Linked DNA regions of Lytechinus pictus. The main gene of each other region encodes a partner of the protein of the gene in region 2 in a complex. Links are inferred from orthologs where the notes say so. Each region holds a gene or a part of one and is shown on either strand. Other genes may lie near its edges. The genes, in order: elongation factor 1-beta-like, elongation factor 1-gamma-like and elongation factor 1-delta-like.

The links.
Region 1: the proteins of elongation factor 1-gamma-like (region 2) and elongation factor 1-beta-like are in contact, whole or in part, in a crystal structure (PDB 5DQS), measured with the Homo sapiens proteins. The link is inferred for Lytechinus pictus from reciprocal best matches to the Homo sapiens genes EEF1G and EEF1B2. Residues at the interface, in NP_001395.1 of Homo sapiens: Leu146, Lys147, Thr148, Arg149, Thr150, Phe151, Glu155, Arg156, Pro185, Asn186, Arg189, Leu192, Thr193, Asn196, Gln197, Pro198; in NP_001032752.1 of Homo sapiens: Ala20, Asp21, Lys22, Ser23, Tyr24, Tyr28, Val29, Cys50, His51, Arg54, Asn57, His58, Ser61, Tyr62, Glu65.
Region 3: the proteins of elongation factor 1-gamma-like (region 2) and elongation factor 1-delta-like are in contact, whole or in part, in a crystal structure (PDB 5JPO), measured with the Homo sapiens proteins. The link is inferred for Lytechinus pictus from reciprocal best matches to the Homo sapiens genes EEF1G and EEF1D. Residues at the interface, in NP_001395.1 of Homo sapiens: Tyr9, Trp13, Arg14, Phe40, Gly41, Asn44, Gly56, Lys57, Val58, Ser104, Val107, Pro108, Ser111, Thr112, Phe115, Ile120, Met121, His123, Asn130, Glu134; in NP_001123527.1 of Homo sapiens: Ala2, Asn4, Phe5, Leu6, His8, Glu9, Ile11, Trp12, Phe13, Lys15, Phe16.

The regions. Positions count from the first base shown.
Region 1 is NC_087257.1:11,050,530-11,058,678, reverse strand, and holds the start of elongation factor 1-beta-like, read right to left. Parts: upstream 3,172-8,149; 5' UTR 3,032-3,171; coding exon 2,952-3,031; intron 1-2,951. Other genes in the region: DNA-directed RNA polymerase I subunit RPA2-like, read left to right, coding at 3,313-3,384, 4,726-4,860, 6,125-6,199, 7,024-7,143, 7,649-7,789. UniProt on the Homo sapiens protein: Catalytic subunit of the guanine nucleotide exchange factor (GEF) (eEF1B subcomplex) of the eukaryotic elongation factor 1 complex (eEF1).
Region 2 is NC_087251.1:26,859,625-26,867,534, forward strand, and holds the start of elongation factor 1-gamma-like, read right to left. Parts: upstream 3,483-7,910; 5' UTR 3,129-3,482; coding exon 3,117-3,128; intron 2,978-3,116; coding exon 2,819-2,977; intron 197-2,818; coding exon 133-196; intron 1-132. UniProt on the Homo sapiens protein: Probably plays a role in anchoring the complex to other cellular components.
Region 3 is NC_087255.1:10,468,602-10,476,642, reverse strand, and holds the start of elongation factor 1-delta-like, read right to left. Parts: upstream 3,559-8,041; 5' UTR 3,481-3,558; exon of another isoform or gene 3,364-3,480; intron 1-3,363.

The DNA.
Region 1 (8,149 bases), on a different chromosome or scaffold from region 2:
AGTGAACAATGTAGTTAAATGTGGCAACATTTTCTGGCAGCCAAGTAATGTGACATGTTTCCATGGCTCCTCACAGAGGCTCAAACAGTCTATAAAGACTTAAAAATGCCTATTTTCAGCCACTAGCCCACAAAGTATAGCCTATGGCCTGGGGATGGGCCAAAATGCTGTATGTATGCATTTCCAGACACATTTTATGGCGCATTTAAGCCTTATTTCTAACTATTTAGTAGGAAATTTCATGGTCAGTTTTGAGCAATGTCTTTGACAATATAATGCTAATAAAGAATATATAATAAAGGTAACGCTTTTTAGTAGAAATGCCGTTTCATTTTTTTTTGCCCTATCTAATAGTAATTCAAGATTTGTATAGCGCACTTTCCATGTTGATCTTAATTAGATGCTCAAGGCGCTCAGAGCGGAATAAAATAATTGTTTTCTAAAAAAACACATAAAAAACAATCACATTCTTTTTATGTAGGCCTACAATAGGCTACATGTATGTTGATTTAATCTTAGACTAGGGTGTCTGGAGAATTTTTTTTTCTTATTTCAAGGAAATATCACATTTTCTTTGTGAATTTGAAGAGAAAAAACCTTCAGACTGATAGAAATGTAATATTTTTTGAAAAAATCCAATTATTGGCTGCAAAAAAGAAGAATGAAATTAGGTCAATTTTCAGCATTTCCCTGCCATATTACTGTGTAGTTAAGAAATGGACACACACAAATCCTAATTTTTAGCTTCCGAGAGCTGTTATAAATTTATTATTAATGCCAAAAACTTGTCCATAAAGTGTCTAGTAGGAATTTTTATGCTCTTTCCGATGGTATGATTTTTATAAAGATTTGGAAACCAGATCACAATGAAGAATTGCGACAAAGTGAAAAAATTTGTGCAAAACAGAAATTTCATTTTCCCATAGAAAATGCATGGGGAAATAACAATCTCAACACACAGACAAATAAGGGTTTGCAATTTATCTCTAAATCCTTATTTCAAATAATCCTATAAACTTGTCCTTACTGTCAAAAGAAGCCCCTGAATTTTCTTTCAATACATGCCAAACAAAAGTTAATAATCAATTCAGATCACATTTTTTTAGCAGCCTGAATTTCCTGAAAAAAGTGTGCCATATTTTCCCCTAAATCAGCCTGTCTTATGCTGACACTTTTCAGTGTGGCTTCAGACACCCCACTTAGACAGGAAATAAACAACTAAAACCTGAAAGATGACTTGAATAAAATAAAAACAAAAGAAAAATCACACACCAAAATTTTTATTATCAAAAATGGATGTGAAATAAGAAAATTGTGTGAGTTTTCACAAAATGAAGGTGATATGACAGAGGTGCTGGTCAGAAAATTGGGATCGTCCCAGTTTACAGGGACTGTCTCAGTTTTCAAAGATTTCTCCACACAAGAAATCTAACGTAGGAAAGTTCATTCACCTGTGAAGTGCCGATTGATGTCGGCACTTCACAGGTGAATGAACTTTCCTAAGTTAGATTTCTTGTGACATCAATCCAGTGCACTAGTCAATGTAATGTAAACATATCATCAGGTTTCATAACAAGATTATTGGAAATGGAAGACAGAAAGTCATGAAATATAGATTATAGTCATAGACATAGTCCATAGACGGTGAACTGGGGGAATTGAGGTCACTTAATCTATTTTTAGCACTCTCAATCCCGCAATTATCGCTACCCCAAATAGCGATTTTGCCGAGATCCGGGAAAAATCCCTGTAACGCGCATTGCATTATGGGATAGCTTTTCGGTATTAAAACTTCCTGTTCGGAAGTCCAATGCACTGTTTTGCCATTCAGATCAACAGTGCCGTCATGCACAACAACACAACGTCGCTTTCGCTCGGAAAGTTCGTGATCACAACCCTCTCTTTCACGATACAGTTTAACGGCCTTTTCTGCTAAAGTCACTAATTCTGCCTGACGCTTTCCATTGCACGGTATTCCTCTGTCAGTTAAGATTTTTTAAAGTTCCAAAACTGATTTTTTTTTTATCCATTTTGTGGTCGACGAAAAATTGAACGGAATGAATGCTGTAGGCTATATATTAAGCGTCTAGTCGAATACGATCGTGATGTCAGGCCGGTCGCTAAATGCGAAATTTTAAGATACTCATTTTTTGTTTAATTTTTTATAACCAAATAAAAACATGAATAAAAACTATTTTCACATGAAATATATTTTTTATTTTTATTTATAATTCAAATGGAATCAAAACTGACCAAATTAGATAAAAAGTATTATAATCTGTACATATCGCTGATTGGCATCGATTTCAGCGTGGTGGAAAACTCAGTATCGCGAACCTCGCGCGAGCATGACTCTGAACCGGAAGTGGTGATGACGACCCGACGGAGTGAAAATAATCTCGTCTCGCGCATTATGAGATTTTTGTTCCTATTTGGGGTAGCGAGAATTGCTGTCCATGTCCCGCAGGGCTAAAGTCACTAAGTGAATGAAGAGAAACTGTCCCAATAAACAAGGACAATCTCAATTCATCAAGACATGATTTGTCTTGCCTTGGTTATGACATGATGAGGATATCCTTGTTTTCTGAGACTGAGTGAGAGTGAGACAATCCCAATTTTTGGACCAGCGCCTCTATCTACCTGTCTACTGACAGAACCAATCACACACAGCAGTATAATTATCAATAAAAAACCCATTGTGGTTTACTTTCGTATGCTAATTTACTATTAACATTTGATATCCCAATCATGCCTATGGTACCCATCTCAACTTGAACATCGCAGTGGCAGTGCAGGGCAGACACAGCACGCAGCTCAGACTCAGTTAACCCAGGGAGCTCCCGCCCGCGCGGGCGGGAGCTTCCTGGGTTAAGACTCAGTCAGCTCACGCCACGCCTCGCTAGACGCTACCTCGTATGTTGTTGAATCTTGTGAAATAAAAAGAAAATTACCCTTCAATGTAACTGCGATCTGATAGGAAATCATTAAGGGCACCGAGCCCACTGCTGCTTTTAAGATCACCGAAACCCATTTTTGCAAGATAAGTTTGTTAAAAGTCGGAGTTGAGACGAGCAGCAAGTGAATCACACGTGTACTTTTCAGGAAAGGATGAATAATTGGATGACTCTGGAACTGGGCACGCACAGCACACAGTATACATACATTGAATGTAAAAAAGGGGGGTTCAGCGAAAAAAAATCTCGCATGTGCGAAACGTCGATGCACTTGCGCTTTGCCAAACAAAACTGCAGTGCACTGCAAGTGCGAATGGAATTGTGAATGTGGTAAGGTGGTCGCCCAAAATTTGTCAAAATGAGTGATACACCAACTTACCGTAACTTAACAAATGGAGAATATGGGAGACCGAAAGAGTACCAGAACAAGGTTGATATATCATTCGTTTTAAATCTTGAATTTACCATGTAATAAGGAATGTTTCGTGTGCATGATTTGGTGTAGTGTGAGAAGTTGTAATATTGTGTACATTAAATCAATGCCACAGCGAACCGACCTGAGTGCGGATATTAGGCTCCATGTTATAGACAGCTGGCAGCCGTCTGTTTCGAGGAGTTTTTTAAAAACATTTTTATTTTTTTTTATTTCTCGTACACAGACGGCTCGCTATCGTGCAGCCACCATTAGGGGGTTAACAATGCAAAATCCCCCCGACGGGGCTCATTGATTTTTGTCTGACTTAATTTCATAAATATATAAAAAGAACTGTACGTGTACCAAAACTAAAAAAAGGCAAAATAAAGATTATTAATATTCCGTTTTGGCCTGAAATGCACCAAAACGGGGAAAAATAAAATTAAAAGGGGAAAACACAGTGACTTACCTCGGCTGTCGCGCAACTTCACTTCCCTGTTTTATCCGAACTAATAATTACATGAACATATTAATATTAATTATTATAAATGGCCATAATTGGGTCCCTGTACAGATTGAGCTACAACTTCAGTCTCTGTATTTGGTGAGTGGAGCCAACGGAGTTCAGCGGAACAACCAACATACCAGAGACTGAAGCTTTTGGTCTAGGTCCATGTTATGATTCAGTGACATAACTGACATACATTACAGCTGACGGAATATAATCTCCTCCACTCACCGGAGGAGGGAGACGAAGAAGTATGATTTCATCACCTGCAATTTTATTATCCTTGAGCTCCCTGGGTTAAGTTTTCACGTGCTACTACTTGCAAAAGCTATTGTAAAGTTAGATCTTTATAATAAGGAGAGCGTAACGTTAGAGCTTGAAGTTAATGTTTAAAAAAATTGAAAAATCTTATTTAGATACCTAACACGAACAAAAGATGTAGAGACTCTAGACTTTAAATCTGATTTTTGTCTCGTCGATCGTCAACAAGTCAAAAGTTTAACTTTTTGAAACCTGGACATATAGCTAGGAGTAGGATATTTAAGTGTCACCAATCATGGTTACTGATCATTTGAGTTTCAGGTATACAAGTCACATATCACAATTGGGGTCAATGAACTTTGTCCTTGTGGTACATGTATCTTAAATTTAACAAGTATAAGATATTGAATTTTTAAGATAATTTTGAGAAATGAGTACATGTACATGTTCATAAAACTGATGGTGATTGCAGGCCTGGCCTATGCTACTATTATGTTCTTCTTATCCTTGATGAAGTTAGAGGTTAATACATGGCTGGTGTTTACAATTGATTTTGATTCTGTCTTTTTTTTTCATTGTGAAAACAGCTCCTAGAAGATGCAGTGCGCCCTCACATTGAATCCTTCAATTACATGCTTGACGATGGATTAGCACAGGCAGTGAGGAACATCAATCCAGTGGAGTTCCTATTGGATGATGAAAGAATTTCACTTTCATATGAGGTATCATTAGAAAAGATTTGAATAGTATTTTGAAATCAAATAATATGATGAAATCTAATTTTTTTTTATCAGTATGAAAAGTTTGATTTGATCCAAAAGATTCCAGAGTGACTGTGGAAGAAGATAACACATGAAGTATTAAAAAAACAAAGTAAACATTGTACTTTTGCTTGATAGATATCAATGTTCTTATGTTTCTGAATAGCTGAGTAGTTTAAATGAGAGAAAGTTGGAGACAGAGTTTTACTCATGAAAACATTACTCTGGAATTGCCATTGCATATAAGTATGAAAATGGGGCATTATACTGGTACACTGTATATGCACAAGTATGGATTGCCATTAATAGTAATTTTCAGCTATCTTGTTTCATTCTAATTTCTAAAATGATTCATCTCCATCTTTACCCCCAAGTATTCCTTATATAAAAAAAGTGAAAAAATACTTCTTTCTACATTTTCCTTAAAATTCACATGAAATCCCGCCTCATCCCAAACTTAAAGGGGAATCCAACCCAAATAAAAACTTGTTTTTATAAGAAAAAGAAAAGTCAGACAAGTTGATAGGTGAAAGTTTGAACAATATTGGACAAACAACAAGAAAGTTATGAATTTTTCAAAGTTGGAAATATTGGTAATCACTATACTCATGGAGACTTCAAATTGGCCGCATATGGGATGTCATAGTGATGTAAGGCAAGGACTACTCTTCCATGTACTCCACTACATATTATGGCTAAAATGTCATTTTTCCTCAAAGTTTTATTTCAAATTGTATTTTTCTTTCATGAGGACATTTAACAATATACTACCTGGGTTATATTTAGATTACTGCCCCAGGGGAATGGGTACTTAGGAGAAAACCACAAATCCCTGATAATAAAGTACATGGCCTATGGGAAGGTTGTCCTTGCCCCTTGTCATAATTTACTTACCCAGTTGCCAATTTGAAATCTACATACTATTAGTGATCCCAATTTTAAAGCAGCTATGACTTTCTTATTTCTTGTCCGATTTATTTCAAATTTTCACCATTCTGTTTAATTTATTTTTCTCCTTCCCAACACAACATTTTATGACCAAGGCTGGATTCCCCTTTAATTTCATCTTTATCCTTTCTGGCCCATAGTATTCCTATCCCCTGGGTCACCTGTATATCACAATATGCTCTGATGTTGTGAATGTCCTGTTCTTAATTTTATTGTTATTTATGTTTTTTTTTTCATAGGATACATTCATTCTTTGTGATTGTTTTTTTTTTCATAGGATGCATTCATTGGTGTACCAACCATTGCAAGAGGAAACCTGTTTGCTTCTACTCTTAAAGTCTACCCATCAGAGGTAGGTTCAGGGTGACCGTTTCATTAAAGTTGTCAGCACTGACAAATTGATTGTCTCTGACAGTTACTATAGTAACAGTCAGAGGCCAGTGCCTCTCAGCCAATCAAAACCAAGGATTTCACTGAAATTATCAGTACTGATCCTTCAATGAAACTCCCAAAGGTCGCTTGATTTCTTTTCCTCTCATTGGCCCTGAGAAATTGGTTATTTTTATCTTTATTTATCATCGAATATCCTTGAAAATGTGTTGCGAAAGCCATCTAAATTTCAATGACTAAAATCAAATTTCAGCTATAGGTGAACAATTCGGGATTATGTGCAATGTACATTGTAGGCTAATCAAAATGCCATTTATAGGTAGATATGCTCTTCAGCAATATCTCGAAGTGGCGGGTTATCTGTAAAAGTTCATTTACATTTTAAATCTGTCATCAGGATCCACGATCAAAGATATGGGAATGTTGTTTAGTCTATAATGATAATGACGTCCTTTTATAGTGCGTAACACCTTATCAGAAGTCTCTAAGTGCTCAATAATGATGCAGGGTGATAACCCCAGCTTTAGCAGAGCAGCTGTTAGGCACACTCTGTTTCAAGGGCTAAATTCCTGCCAAGTCCTCATTTACATGTACCTCACCTGGGTTGATTGCAGCAAAATCTGGATTACTTTCTTGCCGAGGGAAATCAATACCGCTGTACATCCTGGAGAAGGATTGGAACCAATGACCCTCTTGGGGGAAATGTTGGAGTGAGAACCACTACACCATGGCAACACCTCCAGAGTGATTGTAGTTGCTTAAAAAAATAAATTTGTTTCCTTTTAGTGTCGACAGCGTGGGACGACGTACCAGGCCCCTCTTCAGGCAAGGGTGCTCTGGCAACGAAGCAATGGGGACAGTGGGAGTGTCATGCGTCCTCTGGGCCAGATACCCATCCTTGTAAAAGTAAGTCAATGAATCCAATCCAAATCCACATTTCATTGTTTGAAAATAGAAGTCTTCAAATAGAAATATTCCGAAAATTCTTTTTGCCCAATTCTTCTTGGCCCGGCAGCCACTGTGCAGCGTCAGATAAACGAGATCTATCCCTTCAATGTTGAACCCCAGACAGGGTAGCAGCAACTCCCAAAATACATCTTTTGGTCTGATGCTCCGGCGTTTGAACTCTCGACCTCCCGGTTGTGAGACGGACGCTCTACCAACTGAGCAAACACAGTACACCGCAATACAATTCAGGAAAGCTTTATCATACCTGCCAACTGTAAAGAGAAAGTACTAGTAGTATTTGTTGAAAATATGACATGAATAAGGTGGTACAAAAGGACATAAAAAGAGATGAATTGGTTTTGTACACTCTTGCACACATTTTTCTATTATTATGAATTCTTGAAACCTGCTGAATAAATGATTAGTAAAGAAATAAATGAATGAATTCTGTACTTTTTTTCAGTGTAAGAATTGCAATCTTCACAACCTACCTCCCAGTGAGCTTGTAAAAAGGAAAGAAGAGGGCTCTGAAATGGGAGGTTATTTCATCGCTAACGGCATTGAGAAGGTCATCAGAATGCTCGTCATGCCAAGAAGAAATTTTGTAAGTAGCCAAATTCTTTGCTAAATTGTGTCTAATTTGTGGTGTTTTCAATATTACATAAGGTGAGTATCTTTGAGCTGGCAAAAAATTCTTCATGTAATTTATTGTTTATTATTATAAATGAATGTTTGGTACGGCAAAATCAGTAAGAAGCACTAATCAGGAAACACTAATTATTATTATTATTTGTTTGGCGTCACCTGTGCCTGGGAGGCGAAGAGCGAATTGAATCACTATGACCCGCAGGTCTCTCCTGATATAACTGATTGGGGGAGTGCAGGTGGACCACTACGCCGGGTTTCCCCTACTCTTATACGAATAGTGCAGTGGGTTCTTAATGTACAAAGGTGGTGACTCTCC
Region 2 (7,910 bases):
TGTAAAGGCAATACCCAAGTGAATTGGCAACAAAATCAAACACATGTTTTTTTTAAGGCCAATCTCCTAGGCCCTAAGAATGCCTTTCAATAAGGCTAAGTATATAAACCACAAAAATACTGTATAACCTACCATAGTATGCAATAGCATTACTCTCAAACAATGTTGTTCCACTTCCATTCTCAAAGGCTGGAACCTAAATGAAAAAAAAAAAAATTTAAGTTAAACATTAGTTCTGGTCATGAAAGTAAAATCTGGAGGAAACTGTCAAAAGTGATTGGGAGTGGTCATAAACATAGGGACAGTGATTTTCCATGATCACGGAAAACAGACGGAATTCACGGAATCGACCTTTTGAAACGGAAAGTGGCTTTTCAAACTAAAATCACGGAAAACATATTTTTTCTCAAAATGCACAGAATAGCAACAGAAATTACTCCAAAATCCTCAACGAAATACGAATATCAACTGGTCAAAAAACACGATCTCACTTCGCTACAACAATCATGACAATCCACACATCGTGACTGCACTCGAGCGAGTCGAGCCCCTCCATCACTTAAAATTAGTTTACACTCACGTCCGCATGAAGGCAGAAACATGGCCGTGTGTTGCTGCCCTCTGCGTTCTATCATAATATCATATCGCGGTATTCCTCAAATCCAAAATGGCGGATAGGCGAAAGTCGTTGATTGCTCAAAAAGATGTCCAAAAAGTCCCCAAATCATCGATAAAATCTCATTTAACCACAAAATAATGCTAATAATGTGAAAGGTGAGGATGTATTAATAGCGTTGTTAGTAAAGTGGCAGATACAAAGTTTGACCAACACAAGTATTTTTACATCACTACTCATTGCGTATTGATTTTCTATGTAAACGGAATTGTCACTCTTTCATGTACACAAAGTCTATGGGGAAATAGAATTTCCGTTTTCAGACATGCTGAAACAGAATTCAAGCTTTTCTTAAATTGAAAAAGTAAATTTTAGAAACGGAAAATCACTGCCCCTAGAAACCTGAAAATTTTAAAATTTAATTAATGCAATGATAGGGGGAGGGGGCCATTATGCCCATTAAAGATAAATTTATATTAAATACATTCTGCTTACCACCTTTCAAAAAAATATGCCGGGAAAATAGTGAATTTTTATTACAAATAGATCAGGATCAGCCAGGTTCTTCTTCGATCGCCGTCAGCGCAGCTACAGCTGAGCGTACGGCCGTGCCAGTGGAATGGCTGGCATGTTCGTACGCTCAGCTAGCTGTAGCTGCGCTGACGGCAATCGAAGAAAACCTGGGGCCAATTGCACAAAAAGGTCTTTGCAAGAACCGTCTTTCGTGTCGCCCATTTATCATGATGCAACATGTGAAACGCATTTTAAATAAATTGCCTGCAAACATATTTCATTCATCCGTTAAAGTAAACAAAATCTTTGTTTATAAAATGATGTGATGTATCATGAAATTGTATACAAATTGATTTAAATGCTAGCTAACAAATTTTCTTTGTTTATCATACATTTAAGAAATATCCCGCATACAGCGCATCATAAAAGACGGGCGACACGAAAGACGGTCCTTGAAAAGACCCTTTCGTGTAATCGGCCCTAGCCTGGCCTTGAGGCTCCTAGAGAGTAAAAATCATTTACTAACGCATGCTTACTCTCAACGGAGCCTGGAATTGCTTCCCATAGTTACACGCACCGCCCAAAAACCTGAAACTTTCGCCCCCGAGATTTCTACTTTCCTTCTAAAAAAAGATCTAGCCCTAAATCATGTACATGGGATGGGATACAACTTCATTTCCAACATTACTACGATATTGATTTCATTTTTAAACAAGAATTCATTGAAGAAACAAGAAAAATGTTATGAAAAGACGGGAAGAACTTGCCACCGTGCTTACGTCGCCATCTTGATTTCATTGTCTTGCCAAATTCGCGCATGCGCCCAACAGCCTCGATCGGCCATTTTGTTTTGAATTTTGAAAGGAAAGCTACCGCGACAGAACTTTTCGTTTTTTGAGGTTCCAGTCTGTGCCTCGATGTCAGGAAGCTGCCACTCGTTAGGCCTTCATCCATAAAATCGTGGTAAGTGCTTAATTTCTGTTTTAACTATTTATTCGGATAATTATTTAGACCATACTTCACGCTACTACCGTGGGTATGGTGAATTACACGGTAAGCCCCTGGGCTCCGGCCCGCACAGCGGGCCGGAGCTCCCTGGGTTAGGCTTCGTGTAACCCAGGGAGCTCCCGCCCGCGCAATTCATAACAAAAATGTCCGATCGAGACGGGGGCAGAAGGAGAGAACTTTTCATTTTTTGAGGTTCCAGTCTGTGCCCAGATGTCAGGAAACTGTCACTCGTTAGACCTTCATCCATATACCCTAATGGGCTAATAATACCGTAATCGTGGTAAGTGCATAATTTCTGTTTTCACAATTCATTTGGAGAAATATTTAGACCATAATTATAAATCACCCTAGTCCCGTGAGTATGGTCAAATACACGGTAAGCTCCTGGGCTCCCGCCCGCGCAGCGGGCGGGAGTTTCCTGGGTTAGGCTTCGTGGAGAGTAAGCATACGTTAGTAAATGATTTTTACTCTCTAACGTTAGAAGCCTCCTGGCTAGGCAGGCATGCAAACAAAATGAAAAAATGTTTCACTTTCACTTTCAGATACTGCCGTTACTTTGTATTTTTCAATTTGATTCACCACAGCACTCAAAAACTGTCATCAATGGTGTTGACTCCCAAATTAAAGCAAAGCCCTTCGTGACTGACAGAGAGAGAAGGAAAGAGAGAGAGCGAGGCCTACCTTTCCCAACGGGAATTTCTTCAGGAAGTCGGCTGACTTGTTGGTCTCGCCAAGCTTGAAAGCCGGTGGGTCCTGCACAACGGTCAGCTGTGTGCCGCTGTAACCAGCAGCGATCTGGATCTTGTATGCCCGAGTATTTTCGGGATAGGTGTACAAAGTCTGCAAAACAAGATGATAATGAATAGATCATCACAATATTAAGTATTATATCAACACAAACAAAGGTATTTTAGAGCGTATATTCATAAGATGAAAGAAATATAAGTGGATATAAATCAAGATACACGTGTGGACTTACCCCGGAAGCCATGGCTGCTAGCTGGAAAGACCGTGTTGACGTTGCAAAAAGAGAAGCAGAATAGCTGCGCGAACAACACGCCGGGAGATCCCCCTCCCTCTGTATACGTATGTAGCGGCGTAGTCAGCTGCCGGCCTGCACATGTTCCAGTGACAATAGCTACTTTTTGATTTATGTACGGCCTGAAACCGGAATAAAATTATTACTTCCTGAAGTCATCTGAACGAAACACAATCGAAGAAACATCAGTCCTGTTTAGAATTCTCAGTGAGTTCAATTTTGTATAATTAATTGCAATGTTATGCTCCAAAACTAACGTTGCAAACATCTTCAGTCCCATGCATGCACATTTACGTTTTTGATAATAAAAGCATGCCATAAAAACACACTAACTAGAAAATTAACTTCGAAATTTTAGTCATAGAAACTACATTGGGTCACATTGTTGATAAAAGTTGCAGTGGATAGCTAGAAAAAAGTAGAAGATTTTGAGGTAAATTTTCCATTATGTTTTTTTTATTATATTAATTAGGCCTAGTAGTAGTATTTAGTAGGCCTGGGTCTGAATTAACGGACGGAATACCAGAATCTGATAAAAAAATATCTGTCCAATGACATGTATCAGGTTCTGGTTTTTCTTATTTCTGGTCCTGTATTCCAATGAAACAATGTAGTTTAACATTTTCTTAACCCTTAAAGAACTGGGGGGCCATGATGCCCGGCCCCCCCCCCTTGACGCTTTGCGCGATATTTCCGAAGCGCAAAAAGATAGCGCCACAAAATTTTGTGCCTCTTTTTTGTCACTGAAGTTTTGCGCAACTATTGAGACCAAATTCGTGACATATGATATGGGTATAGCTTCGCGACGTCATCACATGACTTTTTACGAGACAATGTCGTGCCGAAAATGGCCCATTTTTATACTTTTTGTACAAAGACAAAGTCTATTTTGAGATGAAATTCATAAAAGGGTGGATTATTTTTCATTCTAATTGGTCTGCTTAATTAATTTAGGTTTTAATTTAGTTGTTAAATGGACTGTAATAATTCCCATTGAAAAAAAAAATACAAAGAAATACATTGTATATAAGAAATTCTAAAAACAGAGAAAAACATGAGGAAAAAATTGGCTTTTGCAATTTTTCTTTGTGGAAACCTTTAATTAAGTTAGATTTCAAAGATGACATTTGGAAAAAAGGAAGAAAACTTGAAGTGAAATCGGGTGTAAAATATGCAAATAATGTTTTTCATGAATAAATTTGCATATTTGATTCATAATAAATAAAAAATAATTATTTTCAGATTTTTTCCTATACTAGCTTGTAGTTTATGTGATAAAGAATGTGCGTGCCAAATTTCGGCGCAAATGCGTGTACGGCGGCCGAGATCAGAAGGGGGGGGGGACCATCATGGCCCCTCCCCCCAGTCCTCAATACATCTCAAATAGCCCAGTCCTTTTAGGGTTAACATAATGATTGAGCAGAGTATGTTTTATTCAGTCTTACCAATTATAACCAGACCAGTAGAGGCGCTGGTCAGAAAATTAGGATTGTCCCACTCCTAGTTTACACTCGGGGATGTACTGCCTCAGGTTTCAAAGATTTCTTCACACAAGAAATCTAGGAAAGTTCATTCACCTGTCAAGTGCTGACATCAATCAAGTGTGCGAGTAAATGTAAACTTGTTGGGTTTCATAACAAGTTTATTGGAAGACGGCAAGTCGTGAAAAATAGATGGTGAACTGGAGGGAATGGAGGTCACTGAATGTATTTTATCGCTCTCAGTCTCCGTAATTGTCATCTATGTCCCGCAGGGGTAAGTGAAGAAAAAAACTGTCTGCATAAACAAAGACAATCTCAATTTATCAAGACAGGATTTGCATTGGTTTAGGATATCCTTGTTTTCTGGGACAATCCCAATCTTTGGACCAGCGCCTCTACTGATAACTGGTTTCTTTGTTACATTTCAGGTGACCACCGAGAAAAATATGATGAGAAGAAGGGGAAAAAACTTGACGATTACGACTTGACCATCTTGTTCTCTTTGTTAGTAGCTAAGCTACGAGACACATATAGAGTCTGCCGCCCTCTATAATCTATATGCGTCTCGTAGCTTAGCTACTTATAAAGAGAACAAGATGGCCACGTAAACATCAGCAAGTTTTTTCCTCGTCTTCTCTTAATATTTTTCTCGTTTTTTTAAATGAATTTTTGGTTAAAAATGAAATCAATATTATTGTATAATCTGTGACTTATTTGTACTTCCCCATTCGTGAATTCATTTATCGGGATACCGGATTCGGTCCGGTGCAACACCAGTGGATTCCGGAACAAAAAAATTCCAACATGACTCAGGCCCATTATAAGATTGAGAACAACATGAACAAAGAAAGTCAAAAAGTTTAATTCAATAATCTAAAACGTTAAGACACTCGCTTGTGAGAAGAGTCCGCATTTATTGCGAAATGTAAAGATGAGACTAGTATGCCTGAAGGCATATACAATATAAGTAAAAGAGTTTGGCTTACCAATATGGGCTCTAGCCTCAAATTAAGTAACGGTAGTTTCTTCACCTTGAATTTATTTTGCAGCAAATTAGGATTTATCAATTGCAATTTTCAGCTTAATTGCAGAATACCCCACCACTACGAAATTGACCACACACCATATTAGAAGTATATGACAAGTATGCCTCATTCTAAAAGTTTTGGGGTACTGAATTGAATATTTGAATTCGGCCTAGGCCTAACCCTTTTAAAACACAATTTTATCTCTAAATGTATGTACCATCATTATTTATGTTATTTTATATTATAATATGATTGCCTTTATGTATTGTACATATGCTTCATTCCATTGCGGCCACTTAACTTTAATAACGTACACCTAATACTGATCCATTCAAACCTACCAGGCAGCCTTGCTACCAGGATCTACGTATGATAATAAAAATTGTCATTGTTACACTTACACTCATACACTCTCTCTCTCGCCCCCGATCTTTCCGCTCTTCCTCCTCTTGCTCTCTACCTCTCTTTTTTCTCTTTCTCATAGTCTCTTTTCCCTTTTTCCTCCCGTGCTTCTTTCTGGTTAGTCAGAACTCATTGTTATGTTTTTTGGCTGCATGTATTTTAAGTTTTGGCTTATCATAATGGGGATGCATGTCATAATATAATACATGTGTCCCCAACATGATAAACAAAATTTCTATGTGTTTTGCTGTAGAATTTGTGCTTTTTTATTTGATGTTGAATGTATTTTTATGTAAATTTTGTAAAGGGTTCTGCAATTAGGCTTTTCAGCCGCTATAGATACCCTAATTGTTGTAATAAGCCGTTTTAAATTAAAAAAAAAAAATTTGCTCTTGTTCCTAGTTTTTGATCTGATAGCGCAAAATCATCACAAAAAATCTAGATAAAGGTTCCTTAAAGGGGAATTCAGTATATGGTCATAAAATGTTGTGTTGGAGAGGAGAAAAATAAATAGAATAGAATGGTGAAAGTTTGAAAGAAATTGGGACAAGCAATTAGAAAGTTATGGCTGCTATAAAATTGAGATCCCTAAGACTAGATTTCAAATTGGCAACTGGGTAAGTAAATTATGACCAGGGGCAAGGACTACTTTCCCCATAGGCCATGTACTTAATTTTCAGGGATTAATGGTTTTCTCCTAAGTACCCATTCCCATGAGGCGCTAGTCTAAATATAACCCAGGTAATGTATTGTTTTATGTCCTCATGAAAGAAAAATATAATTTAAACTTCAAAGTAAAACTTTTGAAAAAATGACATTTTAGCAATTTTATGCATTGGAGTACAATGGAAGAGTAGTCCTTGCCATACATCACTATGACATCACATATGCGGCCAATTTGGAGTCTCCATGGGTTTAGTGATTACCAATATTTTGATTTTTTGAAATTTCACAACTTTCTTATTGTTTGTCTGATATTGTTCAAACTTTTACCTTTCAACTCGTCTAGTTTTTCATTTTCCTTTAAAACAAGTTTTTATTTGGGTTGTATTCCCCTTTAAAGTGATAACCTCTTAGAGGGATAGTTCACCCTAACAAAAGGTTTATTGTTAAATACAAAGAAAAACATTGATGAAAGATTGAGGAAATCTATTAAAGATTAAGACAGTTCCTAGAAAGAATATAAACTTTTGAATTGTGATGTCATCCGAGCAGCTGCCCCATATGTTATAAAATGTTTCAATTTCAATATTTTTAAGGGTTCATGATAAATAACAAATTTCTTCTCTCAGGAGCGGATGTGAAATATTTTTTCTGTTGATATACTGAAGTTACAAAATAACCCATTTTCAAATTTTGAAAAAATGACATTTTTATTGATTTTTAAATATATGATACATGGGAATCTGCACGCATATGACATCATAATTAAAAAAAAATAGAATTCTAATAAATTTTTAAATCTTTAATGGATTTTCCTCGAACCCTCACCAATATTTTTTAATGATTTTTTCTGCATTTTCTACAATAACTTTTTGTCAGGGTGAACCTTCCCTTTAAAACCTTGGTACTTCTTCTGGAGTCACTACACAAGGCTTGTCCAGTGCTGGCTTTGGGTTGAAAGACATTGTCTGGTCCTCTCTACAGTCGCAGTTAGTGTCTCCATCCTTACTGTTGCCCCATTTCTGTATAAGGACTTTGCACCATCCTGTTCCAGTCCGTAGGGGATTAAGACATTACCAGTTTGGTCATTCCTCACTTGTTACTGAATGCAGAGCATGACTTAAATGTACATATCTAGGCCCTAATGTCATCTGTGTTTA
Region 3 (8,041 bases), on a different chromosome or scaffold from region 2:
ACTGCGATGTGAAGAAATAGCGAGTCATATTTTTAACGCAAGATGTGGTCATTTTAGATAAGAAAATTTCACTTTTGTTCGAGATTTTGTCCATGTCATCAGATGATTTTGTAGTGAGCTAGTGAATGTGTGGTGTAGACTACATAGTGTTTTAGGGGTAATGGGGAGTTCAGTGGTATATTTGAGTCTGCTGAACTGAACGCGCCGCACACTGGCCACTGCCGCCCAGGCGCACATCGGAGCAGTTACTCTAGTCTAAATAGAAGCATTTCATGGAAAAGAATGATCATGACGATGGTGTCATTTCAAAGATTTTAATAATTAGGATAAGCAAGATTAATAAAAATTAAGAAAAGTGAAAACTTTTTGTATCCTATCTCATTCTCAAATTTGAATCTGTTTTTTCTAGATCCCCTGCAACTGTGCAAGTCAGGTTCAGAAAAAATTCAAGATCTCGAGCTACATTGTACCATGCGCCGCAAAGTAGGGTGGGGCATAGACAGCTGGCAGGCGTCTGTTTCGAGGAGTTTCTTAACATTTTTATTTTTTTAAAACTTCTCCTTGTACACAGACAGCTCGCTATCATGCAGCCACCATTAGGGGGTTAAAAATGCAAAATCCCCCCGACGGGGCTCATCGATTTTTGTCTTTATTTCATAAAAATATATAAAAAGAACTGTACCAAAATAAAGATTGTTAATATTATTCTGTTTTGGCCTGAAATGCACCAAAACAGGGAAAAATAATCTTAAAAGGGGGAAAAACAGTGACTTATTAATTCGGCTGTTGCGCCACTTCACTTCCCTGTTTTATCCAAACTTAATACATAAACATATAGCCATTAAGTCCCTGTACATATCGAGCTAGAACTTCGGTCTCTGTATTTGGTGAGTGAAGCCAACGGAGTTCAGCGGAACCAACATATTCCAGAGACCGAAGCTTTTGGTCTAGGTGGGGCATTGGGTAGTGTACGGTATGGTAGTGGATCATATTTCCGAACACTTTCCATGAATTCAATCATATCAAACACATTATTCTCTTAAAATTCATCAAACTTTCACCAAAAATACACTATTACTTACAAAATAAAGATATGTAAAAATTTTGCCGAAATAGTTTTTCCTTTTTACGATATTAGCTTCCTATCGGACCCTTCTTCGCATGTGAAATTTTTTACCACTTGAAAAAGGTATCGTATTACCGAACGTGTGTTTTCTATAGGAAAAATTGAGAAAACAACTAAATCACCGATGAGCTATTTTGACCATATTTTATTATTTTTAGAATATCAAGACTTTGAAAATGTGTTTTTGACAATTTTTTCATCATCTTTCTATTCAAGTTCCCTTTGCACAGCGACAAATTGTGTACAACGGATAGCTGAGCGTTCAATGCTAGTGGGCGTGTACATTTTGCTTATTACATGACGTCATCCAGCCACTGCCGAGAGCCAATTTATGAATGAAAATACAGTAAGCATGCGCAGTGCAAGCCTTCCACTTCCCCACACAGTATTCCACCAAAACAACAAGTGTGCAATTCTCTATCACCTCGTACCAAAATCGACCTAGAATTTCACTTTCCTATATTTTACATGAATTATGAAAGGTTTTCTCGGAGGATCTATTTTCTCACCGATACCACACAGGTAAGTGAATTTCGATTACTTCTTGCTTTTCAGTCAAATTCTTACGAATTAGCATCGATATGGCATCGTATTTGTTGGAATTTGTAGTCTATCGCAACGTGCACAAAGTCAATTGGCTTCCGGGTTTCGGAGCGTCGCGTGAATATGCATGAAATTGCAGAGTTTCGATAATTTTCGATCGATACCGGAGCGATCCGATCACGAACCAAGACCATTTCCCGCGTACTCAACGTCACCGGATATCGTTATCGCTATCGATACTTCCGCACGCAGTCCGAAGGAATTATTTTGGCGACCACGTAGTCATGACGTGATCTGCGCGATTGACCAATCAGCGGTATCCGAATCGCTGTGCGGAGATGATCTATCCGTTGTACACAGTCTATGGACGATTTGTCGCTGTGCTTTGGAAGGATGTTGCAAAGTTTTGAGCATATGAAATTATTTTCTGACACATACGATGCGCGTGTTCGGTAATACAAGGCCGGTCGGTAATACAATCACTCCCTATACCCAAGGACCAAAAAAGAAGAAGGGAGCCCCGCCCCAGCCCGATCGACTGGGCCAGGGCGGAGCTCGTGCGTGCCCCACTGCGGAGTGCGATGGGCTGGTTAGCGGCAGATTTAGTTCCACCGGTGGATACCAATTCCGCCAGCAGATATTGCTCATACTCGGATTCTTGTTGGAACCATATCCGCAGATTTGATGTTTGCACATTTGGTTCCTCGGCGAATTTGGTTCAATTCAGATTGACTAAGCTACGTGACGTCTACGTGAATCATATTGAGATCACCCTCCGGCAGCGCATGCGCGGCTCTGGCCGGCAATATCGGGGGGGGGGGGGGGGGGGGGGGGGGCTAGTGAGTTTGCGCGCCGCGGCCACGACCACATACCTGATGATACGCTACTAGACCAAAAGCTTCGGTCTCTGTTATGTTGGATGTTCAGCTGAACTCCGTGGGCTTCACTCACCAAATACAGAGACCGAAGTTTTAGCGCGATCTGTACAGGGGACTCAATGGCCATATGTTTATTATTAAGTTCAGATAAAACAGGGAAGTGAAGTTGCGCGACAGTCGAGGTAAGTCGCTGTTTTTGTTACTTTTAACTTGATTTTTCCCCTGTTTTTGGCAATTAATGCCCGGCAAGAGGGAATATTAATTTGCATTTCTGTCGCGTTAATTTTCAAAAGTTTTATTCATTAAAGACAAAAATTGAAGAGCCCCGACAAAGGATTTTGCATTGTAAGTACCCTAAATTAGCCTAATGCCAATGGTGGCTGCATGAAAGCGAGCCGTCTGTGTACGAGGAAAAAAAAAAACTCCTCGAAACAGACGGCTGCCAGCTGTCTAATACTAATACGCTGCCTACGTGCATGAATGATGCATCTGCTGAAGGGAAATTGTGGGAGAAATTGGCACTGAATCCGCCGGCGGATCATGTGTGCCTAGAACTTGTAGAAGCCAGTCACCAGATTCGCAGTTACACCGTCACCGACTGTCATGACGGTGCCGTTCCGGTACGCGACGCTTCCGGTACAAAGCGCGATCCCGACGGGAGGCGTCCCAACTGCCCAATTCCCAACATACACACCCCCGGCCCGACACACACTCGCAGTCATGGCAGTGCAGACTGCAGTGACTCGACTCGTGCAGTCGTGGGAGCGACTGACGAAAGAAAGGCAAATTTCCTGGCGAGAACGATAATATAATTACCAGAGAAGAGTTCCCATTAATGAAATATCAAATTTCATTTCATTTTCAAAAAAAAATATTTACATACATAAAGTAGAAACAACTTATTATCCTCAAATTATGTTTTGTAAAATTTACCGGCGTTTCCCGTCTGTGTACACGTGAATAAAAAGGCTGAAAAAGGAGAAAAGTGTGTGTGCGCCGGTATGGTATCGCTTCTGTAAAAATAAAAAAGACAATTTACATTTCATAATTTCAAGTCCTATCCTAGGCTATAGTTCACAGGCTTGTTACAACTTCTTGTTTTTAAGATAAACCTTTTTTTACTTGTACGCTGTAAGCAAATTTTATCTGATGATGTACATACACTTGAAAATTGCACTTCACCAGTAGGACAATCCACCGATGGCTTGCCGTGTACAGAAGAAGAAGAACTTTCACAATCAGGTCGTGATATGAAACAAAAGGAAATGATTTTAAAACGGCACTCAGTTTTTAGTTTAGATTAATCACCCTCCGCTCCCCTAATACTTGATCCTAAAGAAATGGAATATTTACTGCATCATATGTGTGACAATTCAGGCTTTTAAAATATTCAGCAAATTACAATGTACGACTGTAAAAAATATCTTTGAATTACGGTATATAAGTAGAATGATTGTAATTATTTCTCGATTTTTTCAGTAGGTTTAACTTGTCTTTCAATTTACTTGGTTTATTTGGGTTCAAAATATATAGCTTGCTTCGATTAAGTAAATCTAACTCCAATTAGGCAAAGATAATTATTACTTATAAAGTCATGTTGAATGTACTTATATTTTTCAATCAGTAACGCCGCCGCCTTATTCAATAATTCATTATCAAGTAAATGTTAAAATTTTTAAATAACTGTCATATCTATGGTGTGAAATTGTTTTGGATTAGAATGCGCAAAATATTTTATTCTCATGCAGCAGAATCAAAGAAAGAACAACATTAAATAGTCACTCATCTGAAAATTTCAGATTTCTTTTTAGGTTTGCGGAAAATGTAAATATTATTGTTAGAATGAACCGGTCGCCTATAAATATAACTGTCAGTAGTTCTCAGGACCTATCATGTACAGGTAAGTGACAATGCATATAGAGTCTAATATTTGGATAAAAGATGTCTATATAATAAGATGAAAATGATGTCACTGAAAGTGGGATGATGGGGGAGCGGATTTTCGAATCACGAAAGTCCACTCCGCCATTAAAAAAAAATATTTCAGTGATTGTTTTACTTAATTGAATTAAGTTGTTGTAACTTGATTTACCTGAATAAAATGTATTCCAAAAAATAAATAAATTTAACTAAAAACTGCTAAACTTATAAATACTTGAAAAAATTAAGGCATATTTTTTTGTCTCAATTTTATTGAGTAATTTCAAATATTTTTTTTAACAGTTTATTTCCAAAGTGTAATACTGTAGGCAGTGGCGTACCGTGGGTCACGGCATTGGGGGGGGGGGGGGGGGAGGCACCAGCAACAAGAATTGAGTCACTTAGTGCCAGGTATACTGACCTAATAGAGACATTTTAATGGCAGTACCATTAAACGGACATGTATCTCACTGATCAAATAATGCGAGCGCGAAGCGCGAGCAGATTTTTTTTAAATATTTAGACCTGAAAAGGGACATTATAAACAATTTTTTGTAATCATGATACGTACCTGTTCCGCTAAACAAACAATGCGAGCGCGAAGCACGAGCTGAATTTTGTGTAATAATTGATCCCATTAATCCATTAAGAGTATACATATCTCACCAAAATCATCTAATGCGAGTGCCAAGCGCTTGCTGATTTTGTTAGAATTACATCTTAACAAATGAATCACTTGTAGTCATTGTAATCATGATCAACATACGCATCTCACTAATCAAATATTGCGAGCGCGAAGCGCGAGCTGAAAATTTAGGGAATTCAGACCTGAAGAGGGGCATTCTAAGACTTGTTTGTAGGAATTCACTAAGACCATACGTATTTCACTATCCAAATGTGCGAGCTCGATCGAAGCGCGAGCTGAAATTTTTTGATATTCAGATCAGAAAAAGGGACATTTTAAGGACTGATTTTAGGATTTAATGAAGAGCAGACATCTCACCAATCCACTAATGCAAATGTAAGCACGGACAGGAAATGTTTTATATTAATACCTTAAAATGGGGCAATCACTTTATGTAGTCATGAAAAAGAAGCATATGTCACAACATAAAACAATAATAACTCGAAAAGCGAGGAAGTATATTTGGTGTATTGACTTGAAAACGGGAGGTTTTAGTAAAACAGGATTACATATCTCGTTAAACAGACAATGCGAGCAACAGGAACTATGAAGACATAGGCCTGAGAAAATTATGTTTCATAAAGTTATGAAAAAAAAGTTTTTTCTATGTAATATAACATAACATAATCATAATATAATATAACATTATAATGAACAATAATTTCTTATTTCCCACTACGTTTCTCTTTCTTTCTTTCTCTTTTTTTTCTCCTCCCCCCCTTTTTTGGCCAGCCGATTGGGGGGGGGGGGGGGCACGTGCCCCCCATGCCCCCCGTAGATACGCCACTGACTGTAGGGCCTATAATGGTCATATTCATCCCTTGAGAGCGATCAGGGCCCGGAAACGATTTTTAGATAGGCGGTGCTTGGGGTTTGGTCGTCAGAAAAATTGTGCTCCGTCATTTTGTTTTTGGGAGCACAATACCCCCTCTTTTTTGCTTCTCAACCTTATTTCCATGCAGGGAGTGCTGCCTATTCTTTGCACAACGCAGCACTCCCTGAAAAATCTTGCGTCCCGCTTCCCAGCGCCATGGAAAGTTGGAAGCGATTGCCTTTTTTAAAAATATAATTGTCTGATTTTCTTGGAGGAAATTTTCGTCGAGAACCAAATTTTTGAAAAAAATATTAACCCGGGATTTAAAAAACCTCATCGGATGTTGGCTTAATGCTAAATTGTATAAAATGCTTGATTGGCGGCACCGGTAGTAGCGCCAGTAAGACAGGGGCCGCGGAATGGTTTTCAAAGTGGGGGAGGCTGAGCCAAAAGGGGTGGGGGGGGGTGACCATGCTAAAAATCACAATCATATGGTCATTTTTACGTTTTTGTACACGGTTTTGGAAAAAAGTGGGGGGGCTGAAGCCCCCCCAGCCCCCCGGTTCCGCGGCCCCTGTAAGAGGGGGGGGGGGGGGCAAGTGTGGAGGGCAATAAAAGTGTTTGTGGAGGGGGGTGTCGGATAAAAAAAAGTAAATTTGAATTATTACAAAAGTACGCGAAGGTCCCAATTCGTCTATTGCCAACTCGTCCACTCATCACATGGTCTAACTTCATTTAGTCTAATGCCATTCGTCCATCAACATTTTGTCTAACAACTATTTGGTCCAATCATCACTTTGTCTAATAATCACCCGTTCGTCTATATGACAGTTTCGTCTCATAGTTGGTCTAATATCCAATTTATTTTCATTCATTTCTCCCAACTACCACAGACCATGTGGATCGTGGACGAACTGATGGTAGACCAAATGATAGAAGACGACTTGGTATTATACTTATAGACCAATTGAAAATAAACCAAGCGAACAGCGACCGAGTGAGACAGTGTTCAAGTTTTGAAGAGTGAAATATACATGTATAGAGCACATTACAGATTGAATGATTATTGAAAGCACAAACGCACTACCTGATATTATTCTACATAAATTCTTCAGTTTTCAAAATTTGGGGACGAGGAGGAAACAAAGTTAAGGACCAGGCGATGATTTTTGAGAGGGGATGCTAGTTTGAAAAAAAAAAGACAAGAAAAAAGGGGACTCGCTCACAAATGAAGGTGAATGTGGCCGGAAGCAAAAAACTAAATACATAAAAAATCCACAAGCGCCCCCCCCCCCGTAAAAAAGGGTTTCGCCTAAAAATGAAGGGGATTTTGGTTAAATTTCTCCTCTTAGGCATACCCAATCTGATTTCCAGGGGGTGCTGCCTATGCCATGATGTATGCAGCACCCCCCCCCCCCGACAAAACTTTGGGTGCTTCAGCACCCTATGCGTTTTAAATGAAATATATATCTTTTTAAATGAATATTAACAATTTTGGATGGTTTTATGTGAAAGTAAGAAAAGTAAATCATGCATTCGGAGGGCTGGGGATCAAGCTTCCTATATCTGTCCTTCCTATGGACGACTTATATCTTCATCACTTTGTTATAATACACAATGGGTATCATATATATATTTTTATCAAATTTGTATATTGAATAGAAATAAAGTAAATAATTATCTACTTATAATAATAAAATACAAAGCGCATTTTGAGAAACGAAGAAACAGTATAAAACAAAACCTGAATTTATAACAAGTTGGAATTGATTCTAAACTATTTCATTCCAAAATTTTCAACAAAATTACAATTATATCAATAATATGGGCCGAGTGATTATTATTTTAACCAAGTCCACACTCATCTAAACATTCCAACTACCAAGGCCCTGTGAACGATGGGGGTGCTGATGTAAATTTGAAAAGCAAAAAAAAAAAAAAAAAAAAAATGTTTTCACTACAAAACGGAGGTCATTTTGATCCAGAGAAATTTGACAAAAAAAAAGGTTTTACCTAAAAAAGTACCTCATTTTGCCTACATTTTTCAATTTTTCCACCCCATACCAGAAGCACTC